Saccharomyces cerevisiae S288C: one gene and its partners. The protein of the gene in region 2 binds, or shares a complex with, the protein of the main gene of each other region. Each region holds a gene or a part of one and is shown on either strand. Other genes may lie near its edges.

Region 1 (3,698 bases), on a different chromosome or scaffold from region 2:
GTAAAAACGTTGTATGGAGCTCAAATCCAACTAGAATAGCATACTTATCCCAAGAAATAGTCATTTTCAGGGACGATTTATCCGGAAGATTCAAAAGACACCGTTTGGAATTCCCATTCAACGAGAGCGAAGATGTTTATACTGAAAACGATAACATGATGTCTAAAGACACCGATATTGTACCAATCGATGAATTAGTTAAAGAACCAGACCAGTTACCACAAAAGGTTCAAGAAACAAGAAAACTCGTTAAAACAATACTAGACCAGGGTCATTTATCGCCATTTCTTGATTCCTTGCGCCCAATTTCATGGGATTTGGACCACACTTTGACACTTTGCCCAATACCATCGACAATGGTTCTTTGCGACACTACTTCTGCACAATTTGATTTGACATACAACGGTTGTAAAGTAATTAACCCTGGAAGTTTCATTCATAATAGACGTGCTAGGTATATGGAGTACGTTCCATCCTCAAAGAAAACTATACAAGAAGAGATATATATCTAAATAATGCATCAAAATAAGAACACTTAAACAAGCACGGTAGTGTTGGTACTCTGCCATCTATTTGTATGGATACTTTTTGAATTTTGATGTAACGGATTTCGGCATACAATATATGGGATCTATGGGGACTAAATTGTCGTATCCCATTAAACTTAAACCAGCAACACCAAAAACTGTATGGAAGACATCCACTTCATTTTCAGGCCTGTCGCTTATTCCACCCTTCTTCTCATCTTGACATTTGAGTATAAACTCAGTTAGCTTCTCATAATTTATCCAATCTAGTCTACCAATAATAGCTAATGAAGATAAAACCCACCAACTATAGCAAACATCGGGCAGTTTACTTGGCCTACCGTTTAGTCCACCTTCTGGTAATTGTCGTTCGCAAAGCCACCACCCAATTTCTTCTAGTTGGTCGTCACTAAGCATATCCAATTTGTTAGCAATTGCCAAAGCGCCAAGACAGGTAAAAGCTTGAGCTGCATGGGATTCAGCATTAGGACATAATCCAAAGCCACCATCAAAATTATAACACTTGAGTACAAAGTCTACAGCAGGGTCAACAACTTCAGACGTTAATTCACCCAAAATTGATAGTGCACTCAAGGCTGTATAAACAAACCTTGTATCTACCTCCCCAAACCTGTCACCCTGGAACGAACCATCTTCCAATTGATTCCCACGGATGAAGGAAATCAAGCGAACCTTACGATCTTTTCCAAGAACATCCAAAGCATCATAAGTGGCCAAGATCTGTACGGCGGACAATGTAGTTAATAAATGTGCATCATGTCTTGGAAATGGTGCGAAAGCGCCGTATTTGTCGTCCCAACAGCTCAGAACAAATGATATAACCTCTTCTTTCACAAATGTCTCTGGAGAATCAAGCACACACAAGGCAGTAAGTCCCCAATATATCCCATTCAAACGAAGATGCTCGGTAAGCCAGTATTCAAAATTATGCTTCTTTGTATCCAATGATTCAATATAACGTATATGCTTTTCCTTAAGTAGCGTAAGAGATCCTGACATGTTCACAATTTTCTAGTGGAGAAAACAGAATCATTAGTAACAGTAGTGGTATCTGAAATATATATATACACAGTTTCTTAAATTGTTGTCTTTACTACTGGTATTACTATCGCTATTACAAGCGAAGTCATTAAGTACGGAAATGTTTAAACGTAGAGAGCTAGTAAAGGAAAGGCTGTTACATGATCACTAATCGTAACTTTGCAACGAGCCTGAGGGAAATGACTAGTACTATTACCTTGTTGAACGGAATATGAGTAAATATATTGCACTTGAAAATCTTCCGGTAGATTTGCAACATAAAGGAGCTACACAAAATGAAAGCACCGCTGATATACTGAAACAGTTGCCACATGAACGATTACAAGCTGTCCTGGAGAAGATACCAGAAGAAGATCTTGAGGTGAGACGATTGCTTTCAATTTTAAAGAAGCCGGAAGTAGTGGAGAATGAAGATGTACAACAAAGAAGAATACGGTTGGCTGAAATTTTAATGGTTGATGAAATTGATCTTGAGAACATTAATAACATGGAAAACATAAATGGGGAAGAAGTAGACGAAGAGGACGATGAGGACTTCTTCACTCCAGCAACATCTGAGCTCATTTTTGCGAGAAGATTTTTGATAAATTATTCACTTGAAAGATCTCGAAAGAGGCTACAGAAAGAGATGGAAAGACATCAAAAGTTCAATACAAGACAGGAATTACTCAGTCGGCGTACAGAATTACAGCGTATGGCTAATTTAGAGCTTGCTGGCTCTCAATTAGTATCTACGAAGCCTATTTCCGCAGTTTCTTTATCTACCGATGACATGGTTGTCGCAACGGGAAGCTGGGCAGGTGATCTTCAGGTATTAAATTCTCAAACACTGCAGCCATTGACACAAAAACTCGACTCTCATGTAGGGAAAATCGGAGCTATAGATTGGCATCCTGATTCAAACAATCAAATGATTTCATGCGCAGAAGACGGGCTCATCAAAAACTTTCAATACTCAAACGAAGAGGGCGGCCTTCGATTATTGGGAGATCTTGTGGGACATGAAAGACGTATTTCTGATGTGAAATACCACCCTAGTGGCAAATTTATAGGTAGTGCCTCTCATGATATGACTTGGAGACTTTGGGATGCGTCAACACATCAAGAACTGCTGCTACAAGAAGGCCATGATAAGGGAGTGTTTAGTCTGTCTTTTCAATGCGATGGATCTCTTGTTTGTAGCGGTGGCATGGACTCGCTTTCAATGCTATGGGATATAAGATCCGGAAGTAAGGTGATGACACTCGCAGGACACTCAAAGCCTATTTACACCGTAGCTTGGTCACCAAACGGGTATCAAGTAGCCACTGGTGGTGGTGATGGAATCATTAATGTTTGGGACATCAGAAAACGGGATGAAGGCCAACTAAATCAAATATTGGCGCATCGTAACATCGTTACGCAGGTAAGGTTTTCAAAGGAAGACGGCGGAAAGAAACTTGTCTCTTGTGGCTATGATAATTTGATCAATGTGTATAGTAGTGATACGTGGTTAAAAATGGGAAGTTTAGCAGGCCACACTGATAAAATTATTAGCTTGGATATTTCGAATAATTCTCATTTTTTAGTGAGCGGCGGATGGGATAGGTCTATCAAGCTCTGGAATTGATTGTGTAAAGAAATGTATTTAGTATTTTTGAAACTAACGTTTTATTAACACTGCATTATTTATTTAATTATACATTTCCTGGTTTTTTTGCCCTGGATTTTTTTTTTGTGTTACCATTTTGAGTACGAACTCGTGGAATTGTTAAGTTTTCCAAGTTGTCCATCGTCTTCGATAACTGTCCCACTAACTCCTCGTTTAGATCATTCTCAAGCTTTAATTCCTTTTTCAAAAAGCCAATTTTCTCATTCAATTCTTTTGTAGAGATTTCAGACTTTTCGAATTTCAATTTCAACTCACTTTCTAATCCATTTTGTTTCTCATTAAGTTTGTGTGTCTCCTCCTCATTTTCCCTTATAGCATCAACGGCTCTTTTGATTTCTTGTTCCATATATTTCTTCTCAGTATCCCTTGATACACTTACCCTTTCTTCTTTCTCGATCTCGTCTTGTACATTGTCTGTTTTAACGAAAGCGTCTTTTAACTTTGATAATGTTTCACCT
Region 2 (3,043 bases):
TTTCACCAACTTATAGCAGTCTTCTCCATTAGCATCTATGGTGATATCATCACCATGAACAACATATTGGCACTGATATTTATCCATCCAATTGGGATCTGTAACATATGGCGCCGCTTCAACCACTTCCGAACACCACCTATTTGATCTAGTATGCTCATATCTTTCTGAAGAGTTCATTACTGGTGTTCCTTTGTTATGCTGAATATCTTCATCGGTATGCACACCACAGAATAGTTTACCATTTTCTTTTGAAACTGTTCGACGAGCCTGCAAAATGGCTCCCGCATGCCCATGATGTGTGAAATCAAAGCAGCCGTCTATCCAAACTTTATCCGGATCTAAGTTTACCGTCATCCAGTCAGTATATTTCAAGTCCCGATCCTGTAAAGCATTTGTCTCTGGAAAATTGAACAAAGGCTATCAACATCTGCATTCTTGCTTCTTATTTTGGCCGCATGATATCGTGCCACGCGATAACGAAAACAATAGTTCAACAATTAGGCTAAGCTATCGTGGTTGCTGGTATACCATTCTTCAAAAGTTATTAATCTTTTAATACTGGTAATCCATAATCGCGTTCTTTCATCAATCATTATGTTAGCAGCATTCCGGCCTCCTTGAATTTTCGAATGTGCACTACGAGCATGAATGCCTACGCTAGTAACACCAATAGGCCAGGCCACATTGCCGATACTGAGTTTCATATAGGACTGAACGGCTAAATTTATTTCTTTAGGTTGTTGTAAATGATAGAGAACGGTCGCAAGGGAAATAAGTAAATCCGGGGCAAGCTGGTTCCTTCGTAGTTGCAGTAGGAGTGGAAAGAGTGCTTTTTTAGTGTCTAAGAACAGCTCCGGATGATAAGCTTCCAAAGACGCCTTCCAACGAGATAATATTTCGTGAATATATAAATTACATTTCATTGACAAAAGAGGTTTTCCTTCAGTAGAACCAATTTGTGATGGATCAATGATTACAGAGATGGTTTTGTCTTGAGCTATCGCTTCTTGTATCCTTTCTGGCCGATTTTCTAATTTGCTAATGGTGGTCCTAATATCGTCACTCTGATTGTCTGACAGGTTTTCTTCATCTGTACTTTCTTGTTCTACCTGTCGCGGTGTTTCGTCTATGTTTGCGGATTCATGTGGCTGGAATTTCTCAGTGCATGGTGGCTGAACACCTTTAGAGTTGGCCAGCTCTTTCTTCTTCTTAGAAATTTCACCTTTTAAGATACTGGCTAGATCTAGGTCCATTTTATGCTCTTATTACTTGTAGAGGAAAAAACATTGAAGTTCTTTCCATTGGGGCCCTTTCCAAAGGTCGATTCTCTTCTTAACTTTTTCATCTTCCCTTGCGCGAAATGAATAAATTATCAGGCTTGAAATTAGAAGAATAAGACATATGCTGTTGGCTTCAACGCATAACGCAATATTAAGAGTAAAATAGAAGACCAACTTAACACCATGAGCAGTGGTTCAGCAGGGGCACCAGCACTTTCTAATAATTCCACGAACTCTGTCGCGAAGGAGAAATCAGGTAACATTTCCGGTGATGAGTATCTTTCGCAAGAGGAGGAAGTTTTTGACGGTAATGATATTGAGAATAATGAAACCAAAGTTTATGAAGAATCCTTAGATTTGGACTTGGAACGTAGTAATAGACAAGTCTGGTTAGTTAGATTGCCCATGTTTCTAGCAGAGAAATGGAGGGACAGAAACAACTTGCATGGCCAAGAACTGGGTAAAATTAGGATAAACAAGGATGGGAGTAAAATCACACTTCTATTGAATGAAAATGATAACGATTCTATACCGCACGAATATGATTTAGAACTTACAAAGAAAGTAGTAGAAAATGAATATGTTTTCACAGAACAAAATTTAAAGAAATATCAACAACGTAAAAAGGAGTTGGAAGCAGATCCTGAAAAGCAAAGGCAAGCTTACCTGAAGAAGCAAGAACGTGAAGAGGAACTTAAGAAGAAGCAGCAGCAGCAAAAACGTAGAAATAATAGAAAAAAGTTTAATCACAGAGTTATGACAGATAGGGATGGTAGAGATAGATATATACCATATGTGAAGACGATTCCCAAAAAAACCGCCATTGTGGGTACAGTTTGCCACGAATGTCAGGTTATGCCATCAATGAATGATCCTAATTATCACAAGATTGTTGAACAGAGAAGAAATATTGTCAAGCTTAATAATAAGGAAAGGATCACAACTTTGGATGAAACCGTTGGTGTTACGATGAGCCACACAGGTATGTCCATGAGGTCAGACAACTCGAATTTCTTGAAAGTGGGGCGTGAGAAGGCCAAGAGCAATATTAAATCTATTCGTATGCCAAAGAAGGAAATCTTGGATTACTTGTTCAAGTTATTTGATGAGTATGACTACTGGTCCTTGAAGGGGTTGAAGGAACGTACTAGGCAACCTGAAGCACATTTAAAGGAGTGTTTGGATAAAGTTGCCACTCTAGTGAAGAAGGGCCCATATGCATTCAAATACACTTTAAGGCCAGAGTATAAAAAGTTGAAAGAGGAGGAGAGAAAGGCAACCTTAGGTGAACTAGCTGATGAGCAAACAGGTTCCGCTGGAGACAATGCGCAAGGAGACGCGGAGGCTGACTTGGAAGATGAAATAGAAATGGAAGATGTCGTTTAGTTGACAATCAGATTTTCTTCATTAATTTTATATTTACGCAGTTTCTTGAGCCCTATATATACTCTTTTTAAAATTTACAGTTTTGTTTAATTTATTATGTCTCTATTAGTTTTGGCTATCTGTACATATGTATTTAGATGCATTGAAGTTCCGTAAAAGAATGCTTGCTGGAATAAGAGACTGATGGAGAACTTGCCATAACCGCGCAGATACTTTAAAGCACAAGATTGAATTTGTGCTCCATGCAGCCAATGAAAGAAACTCTGAGATTGCTGTGTGCCCTTGCACCGACCAGTGTGAACGTTGTTGTCCATATGGGGCATGCACTCATTATAGAGAAGGAGACATTGAAACATCAGATATTTGTATTAATT
Region 3 (2,645 bases), on a different chromosome or scaffold from region 2:
AAGTTGAAAAGACATTTTGAGGAGAATCCAAAAGAGCTACAAAGTTTAAGACACGATAAAGAATTACATCCAGCAAGAGTGCAACAGCATTTAAAGCGTGTTCCAGATTACTTGCTTCCTGAATCAGCCAGAGGAAATGGAACCAAAGTCAAGTTTGTTCCTTTCCACAATGCTAAGAAGCGCCATTCACATAAAAAGGGAAGAGTCAGTAAGCCAAAGAATGGTAAAGTAGACCCGTTGAAGAACTTCAAATGATTAATAATATTGATATTTATTCTATATTTTATGTAAAAATCTACTTATTAAAAATGCTCTTTAGTTAAATGTGATAATATAGATGCTTTATTCGTTTTCTTGAATATAATACTTTCGCAAGAGCTAGAAAATCAGCCAATAATAATTGGTCTTACTTCCAAAATAAAAAAAGGCTTTCCGCTGACTGTAAAGTTTCTTACGATGATTTGCTTTCCTTGTTGATTGAGGGCTGCTTGTCTTACTTTTTACTCAACAGGGGTTTTTAACACAACGATAACTGAATCACCTCTTAAGAATAGTTTACTTATGAATCTTTCCCGATTAATTACATTTTTGCCCTTCTTCTCTGTCCAAAGCTCCTTCACATTTTCTAAAACCATATTACAATGCCTGTCGAAAGCTTTCACTCTCGCTATTATTTTATGATTGTTTCTTAATGAGATTATCACAGGTGTTCTTGTCACCATAGCATCATTTATCAGGGACATTGGACCATGTTTGAATTCAAATTCTTCTAGTTCCTCTAATTCTGCTCTAGAGAGTTCATGTTTTGGACGATCAATTATTTGTGAACTGGAAAGATACAAATCAATTACTTTTAAGTTAGTATATAAAAATTCACTCCAAATTATAGGATGTAAAAATGGTTAAGATCAAACATACGACATGATAAAACGGTTTTATAATACTCCTCTAATCAACTGTCAAAGGCGGGGCAAACGTGATGGCGCTTGCTATTAAGAATGATGATGTTCTAGTGATGATGTTCTTGTCATACCTTTTGAGTAAGATAATTTTCATTTGGTAGTATTACCCGTAGTAATATCACGATAGGACAAATTGGTCCCCATAAAGTCACTTCAAGAGCTCATGTACTGTAGGATTGTTCAGTGGTAAATCGACCTCTATTTTCTAATTTCTTTCGTATGTCTTTGATTTCAATTTCTTTTTTAAGAAGCTTTGAATTATTTTGATTGACGGTCATATCAAGTCTGTGCGTTTATTATACAAAAAGAATATGAGACGCAGATGAAACCTCAAAAAGTATAATTTCGTTTACAGAATTTATATAGAAATATAATAATGAAGTATTTGTAGCGAATTTTTTAGATTCATTACATGCAAACAAGTAGAAAAGGCGTCAAGCTAAGACTTTATTGTTGTCATACACCACTTCTGTAAATATTCTGTCCCTGGTGTCTCAATTGAATTGTTTCATGCTTCTCTAGGGCATATAAGGCCTTATCCAGTGCTAATTGAGAAAATCTATGTGTATCTACAAATTCTCTCCTCAAAGTTTGATAAGAAGTAGACCAGCCTATAGGTAATCTTCTTTTTAGTTCTTGTTCAAAACGACGGATTTCTGACAAAGATGTTCCGCTTGCTTGATTTAAGCCGCCAATTGGATCCTGAGACGCTGCGTCCATTGTGGAAGCTTGAAACAATCTAATAGCTTCGTCAACATGTCTCTCCTGTGCAATAGGACTTAATTCTAACTTGGCTAATGATTCTGTTATTCTAATAATAGCTTCTAATTGACGAATGGTAATTGGAATAGACGACCTTTCCGTTGACTCTAATTCGTTGATTAATAATTGCTTCCTAATGGTGACGAAGTTCGATGACAGTTTTTCAGCGGCCTGCGGTGAAAGTCTTGGTGCACATTTCAATCTACAATACGTAATGTAACGTTTCATCTTTTCAATACTAATTTCACTGCCATTTTCCTCTTGTTGGTTTTGCATAGCATTAGCATTTCCTGTATGAATATTAATAACGTGGTTAGCTATTGAAATATCACGTTCTTCATTATGGTCATCCTTAACAATAAAAATCATATCAAAACGGGATAAAATAGTAGTTTGGAAATCAATGTTGTCACCAGGAGACTTCAAATCATCATACCGGCCGTATATCGGATTAGCAGCCGCTAAAACACTAGTTCTAGAATTTAGCACTGTAGTGATACCAGCTTTTGCGATGGAGATTGTTTGCTGCTCCATAGCTTCATGAATGGCCACTCTATCTTCATCTCTCATTTTATCGAATTCATCGATGCATACAACACCACCATCGGCAAGCACCATAGCACCACCTTCCAAATAAAATTCTCTTGTCATCGGATCTCTTTGTACACTGGCAGTTAACCCAGCTGCAGAAGATCCCTTACCAGATGTATATACCGCAATAGGTGACACTTTCTCCACAAATTTCAATAGTTGAGATTTGGCGGTACCTGGATCACCTAATAATAGTACATTGATATCACCTCTTAACCTCATACCATCGGGTAATATCTTCTTGGAACCACCCATCAATAAACATACAATGGCTTTTTTTATATCTTCATTACCAAAAATAGAGGGGGCAATAGAGTTGGTCAAAATTTC
Region 4 (2,649 bases), on a different chromosome or scaffold from region 2:
AAACTTTTATCATTAATCTCTCTAAACCATCCATCTTTGATGTAAGGATGCTGTGAATTATTAACCATAATGTATAACTGAATCTGTCACTTTATCCTGCCTGTCTCATCGGCGTTTTGATATTTTATTTTTAACTAAAATCAGCAGCAACTTGAAAAATTTTGAGATAACCTTAAAAAGGATCTAGCAATAAAGAGAAGCTCGAAGTAGCCATGGACACTGAAGAGAAAAAAAAGACTACAGCGTCAGTAGAGCATGCCCGGATGTTGCAAAATGAAATACAACAGTTATTTGCTCAGTTGCGGGATACGAATTCTCAAATTCGCTGCGATCTTAACGAGTTTGAACAAATAAAGGAATCATCTACAACAGCGGATTCAACCACGAACAGTGCGAACTGATAAATTTATATTCAAATATATTTTACATAAACAATATTAATATATATATATATTCCCCCTACAATGATGAATGCGTTTCTGCCGTCACGTTTCCTATTATCACCTTCTCTTAGGTCCTCTTATTGGTGGCATAGGTCTTGATGAGTTTTTTTTGAATAATGGTGCATTCTTTAAGAGATCTGGAACAACGATAAATTTGATCTGTGACCCACGTACGAATATTTGATCCATGTGTGTTACAGCCCCCTGGGGCTCTGTAGCTATTACATCTCTTAGCTGTACGTTCATGCTATCTTCGCTTTCAACAAGTTTACCACGATAAGTCGCTCCCGTTGTTAGCTCCAGAGAAACGATATGTCCCTGTGCCTCATTTAATAATTTCACTGGTATTCCATTCATAGTCATTGTTTCTGATACGTGCCTCGCAGCGCTTTCTGATTCTCTTCGTATTGCTCTTATAAGAATTTTTTAACGATTTCAAAAATATCAAATCTATAGAACGAAAGAAATAAGAAGCTGCCATCCCTAGAAAAGTAAAAACTATAAGGTACCAAGAAGTAAAAAGAGAAATATAGGGATATAATGATAAAAACACGTATAGAGGAAGTTCAGTTACAATTCCTCACAGGGAATACCGAACTTACGCATTTGAAAGTCTCCAATGATCAACTTATAGTAACGACACAACGGACAATTTACAGAATAAATTTACAAGATCCGGCCATCGTCAATCACTTTGACTGTCCATTAAGCAAGGAACTAGAAACTATAATGAATGTTCATGTTTCACCAATGGGTAGTGTCATTCTTATTCGAACCAACTTTGGCCGGTATATGTTGCTAAAGGATGGCGAATTCACTCAATTGAACAAAATAAAAAATCTCGACCTCAGCTCGCTACATTGGATCAACGAAACCACCTTTCTGATGGGAATCAAGAAGACGCCCAAGTTGTACCGAGTTGAATTGACAGGAAAGGATATAACCACGAAGCTATGGTATGAAAACAAGAAACTCTCTGGTGGAATTGATGGCATTGCGTATTGGGAGGGCTCTCTGCTATTAACTATAAAAGACAACATTTTATACTGGAGAGACGTGACAAATATGAAATTTCCTTTAGTATTACCAGATGAATCTGAGCAATTTGAAAGGTTAAAACATCATGCGATAAAGAAATTCGATTCGTACAATGGACTCTTTGCTTGGGTCACATCCAATGGAATTGTCTTTGGTGATTTAAAAGAAAAGCAAATGGAAAAAGATCCTGCTTCTAATAATTTTGGAAAATTCCTATCTTCGTCGAAGGTTCTACTCAATTTCGAACTGCCTGACTACCAGAATGATAAAGATCACCTCATCAAGGATATAGTTTTGACTGCTTTCCACATCCTGCTTTTGAGAAAAAATACGGTAACAATGGTGAGTCAATTAAATAACGACGTAGTGTTTCATGAAACTATACCGAGACACCAGTTGACTGGCTCCAACACTGATAGTAATGAGAAATTTTTAGGCCTAGTAAGAGATTCGGTGAAAGAAACGTTTTGGTGTTTCTCAAACATCAACGTCTTTGAAATTATTATCGAAAATGAGCCTAATTCGGTATGGAATTTATTAGTTCGGGATAACAAATTTGACAAGGCCCTATCGTTGAAAGGCTTGACGGTGAGGGAAATAGAATCTGTAAAACTTTCAAAGGCAATGTACCTTTTCCACACTGCTAAAGATTTTCATTCCGCGGCTCAAACTTTGGGAAGCATGAAGGACTTGTCACACTTTGGGGAAATCGCATTGAATTTTCTCCAAATAAAAGATTACAACGATTTGAACGTAATATTGATAAAACAGTTGGATAACGTTCCCTGGAAATCAACTCAAGTCGTCTTGTCGAGTTGGATTATTTGGAATTTTATGAAACAATTGAATGATATTGAATTAAAGATAAACACAACTAAGCCAGCTTCTACTGATGAAGACAATTTGCTAAACTGGAACCTGAATCTCAAGGAGAAATCGAATGAACTAACGAAATTTTTGGAAAGCCATCTAGAAAAACTTGATAATGAAACCGTTTATCAAATAATGTCCAAACAAAACCGGCAAAACGAATTATTGATTTTTGCTAGTCTAATCAACGATATGAAGTTTTTATTATCATTTTGGATTGACCAAGGAAATTGGTATGAGTCCTTGAAAATTCTGCTTACAATAAATAACCATGACCTAGTCTATAAGTACTCTTTGA

The links.
Region 1: PRP18 (region 2) and PRP4 share a complex: the UniProt entries of both Saccharomyces cerevisiae proteins name them as parts of the U4/U6-U5 tri-snRNP complex.
Region 3: PRP18 (region 2) and SMD2 share a complex: the UniProt entries of both Saccharomyces cerevisiae proteins name them as parts of the U4/U6-U5 tri-snRNP complex.
Region 4: PRP18 (region 2) and SMD3 share a complex: the UniProt entries of both Saccharomyces cerevisiae proteins name them as parts of the U4/U6-U5 tri-snRNP complex.

Annotation. Positions count from the first base shown.
Region 1 is NC_001148.4:890,532-894,229, forward strand, and holds PRP4 (U4/U6-U5 snRNP complex subunit PRP4), read left to right. Parts: upstream 1-1,800; coding exon 1,801-3,198; downstream 3,199-3,698. Other genes in the region: DPB2 (DNA polymerase epsilon noncatalytic subunit), read left to right, coding at 1-512; Rab geranylgeranyltransferase BET2, read right to left, coding at 570-1,547; HDA3 (Hda3p), read right to left, coding at 3,266-3,698. UniProt on the Saccharomyces cerevisiae protein: Involved in RNA splicing. Is required for the association of U4/U6 snRNP with U5 snRNP in an early step of spliceosome assembly.
Region 2 is NC_001139.9:504,283-507,325, reverse strand, and holds PRP18 (mRNA splicing protein PRP18), read right to left. Parts: upstream 1,257-3,043; coding exon 501-1,256; downstream 1-500. Other genes in the region: ECT1 (ethanolamine-phosphate cytidylyltransferase), read right to left, coding at 1-357; transcription factor IIF subunit TFG2, read left to right, coding at 1,467-2,669; PEX31 (peroxisome biogenesis protein), read right to left, coding at 3,000-3,043. UniProt on the Saccharomyces cerevisiae protein: Component of the U4/U5/U6 snRNP, binding principally to the u5 snRNP. It is not absolutely required for the second step of pre-mRNA splicing at low temperatures but is required at higher temperatures.
Region 3 is NC_001144.5:692,656-695,300, reverse strand, and holds SMD2 (mRNA splicing protein SMD2), read right to left. Parts: upstream 924-2,645; coding exon 919-923; intron 829-918; coding exon 501-828; downstream 1-500. Other genes in the region: DBP9 (ATP-dependent DNA/RNA helicase), read left to right, coding at 1-255; MCM DNA helicase complex subunit MCM5, read right to left, coding at 1,419-2,645. UniProt on the Saccharomyces cerevisiae protein: Plays a role in pre-mRNA splicing as a core component of the spliceosomal U1, U2, U4 and U5 small nuclear ribonucleoproteins (snRNPs), the building blocks of the spliceosome.
Region 4 is NC_001144.5:433,658-436,306, forward strand, and holds SMD3 (mRNA splicing protein SMD3), read right to left. Parts: upstream 807-2,649; coding exon 501-806; downstream 1-500. Other genes in the region: SPE4 (spermine synthase), read right to left, coding at 1-68; YLR146W-A (uncharacterized protein), read left to right, coding at 213-401; tethering complex subunit PEP3, read left to right, coding at 984-2,649. UniProt on the Saccharomyces cerevisiae protein: Plays a role in pre-mRNA splicing as a core component of the spliceosomal U1, U2, U4 and U5 small nuclear ribonucleoproteins (snRNPs), the building blocks of the spliceosome. Also binds telomerase RNA and is required for its accumulation.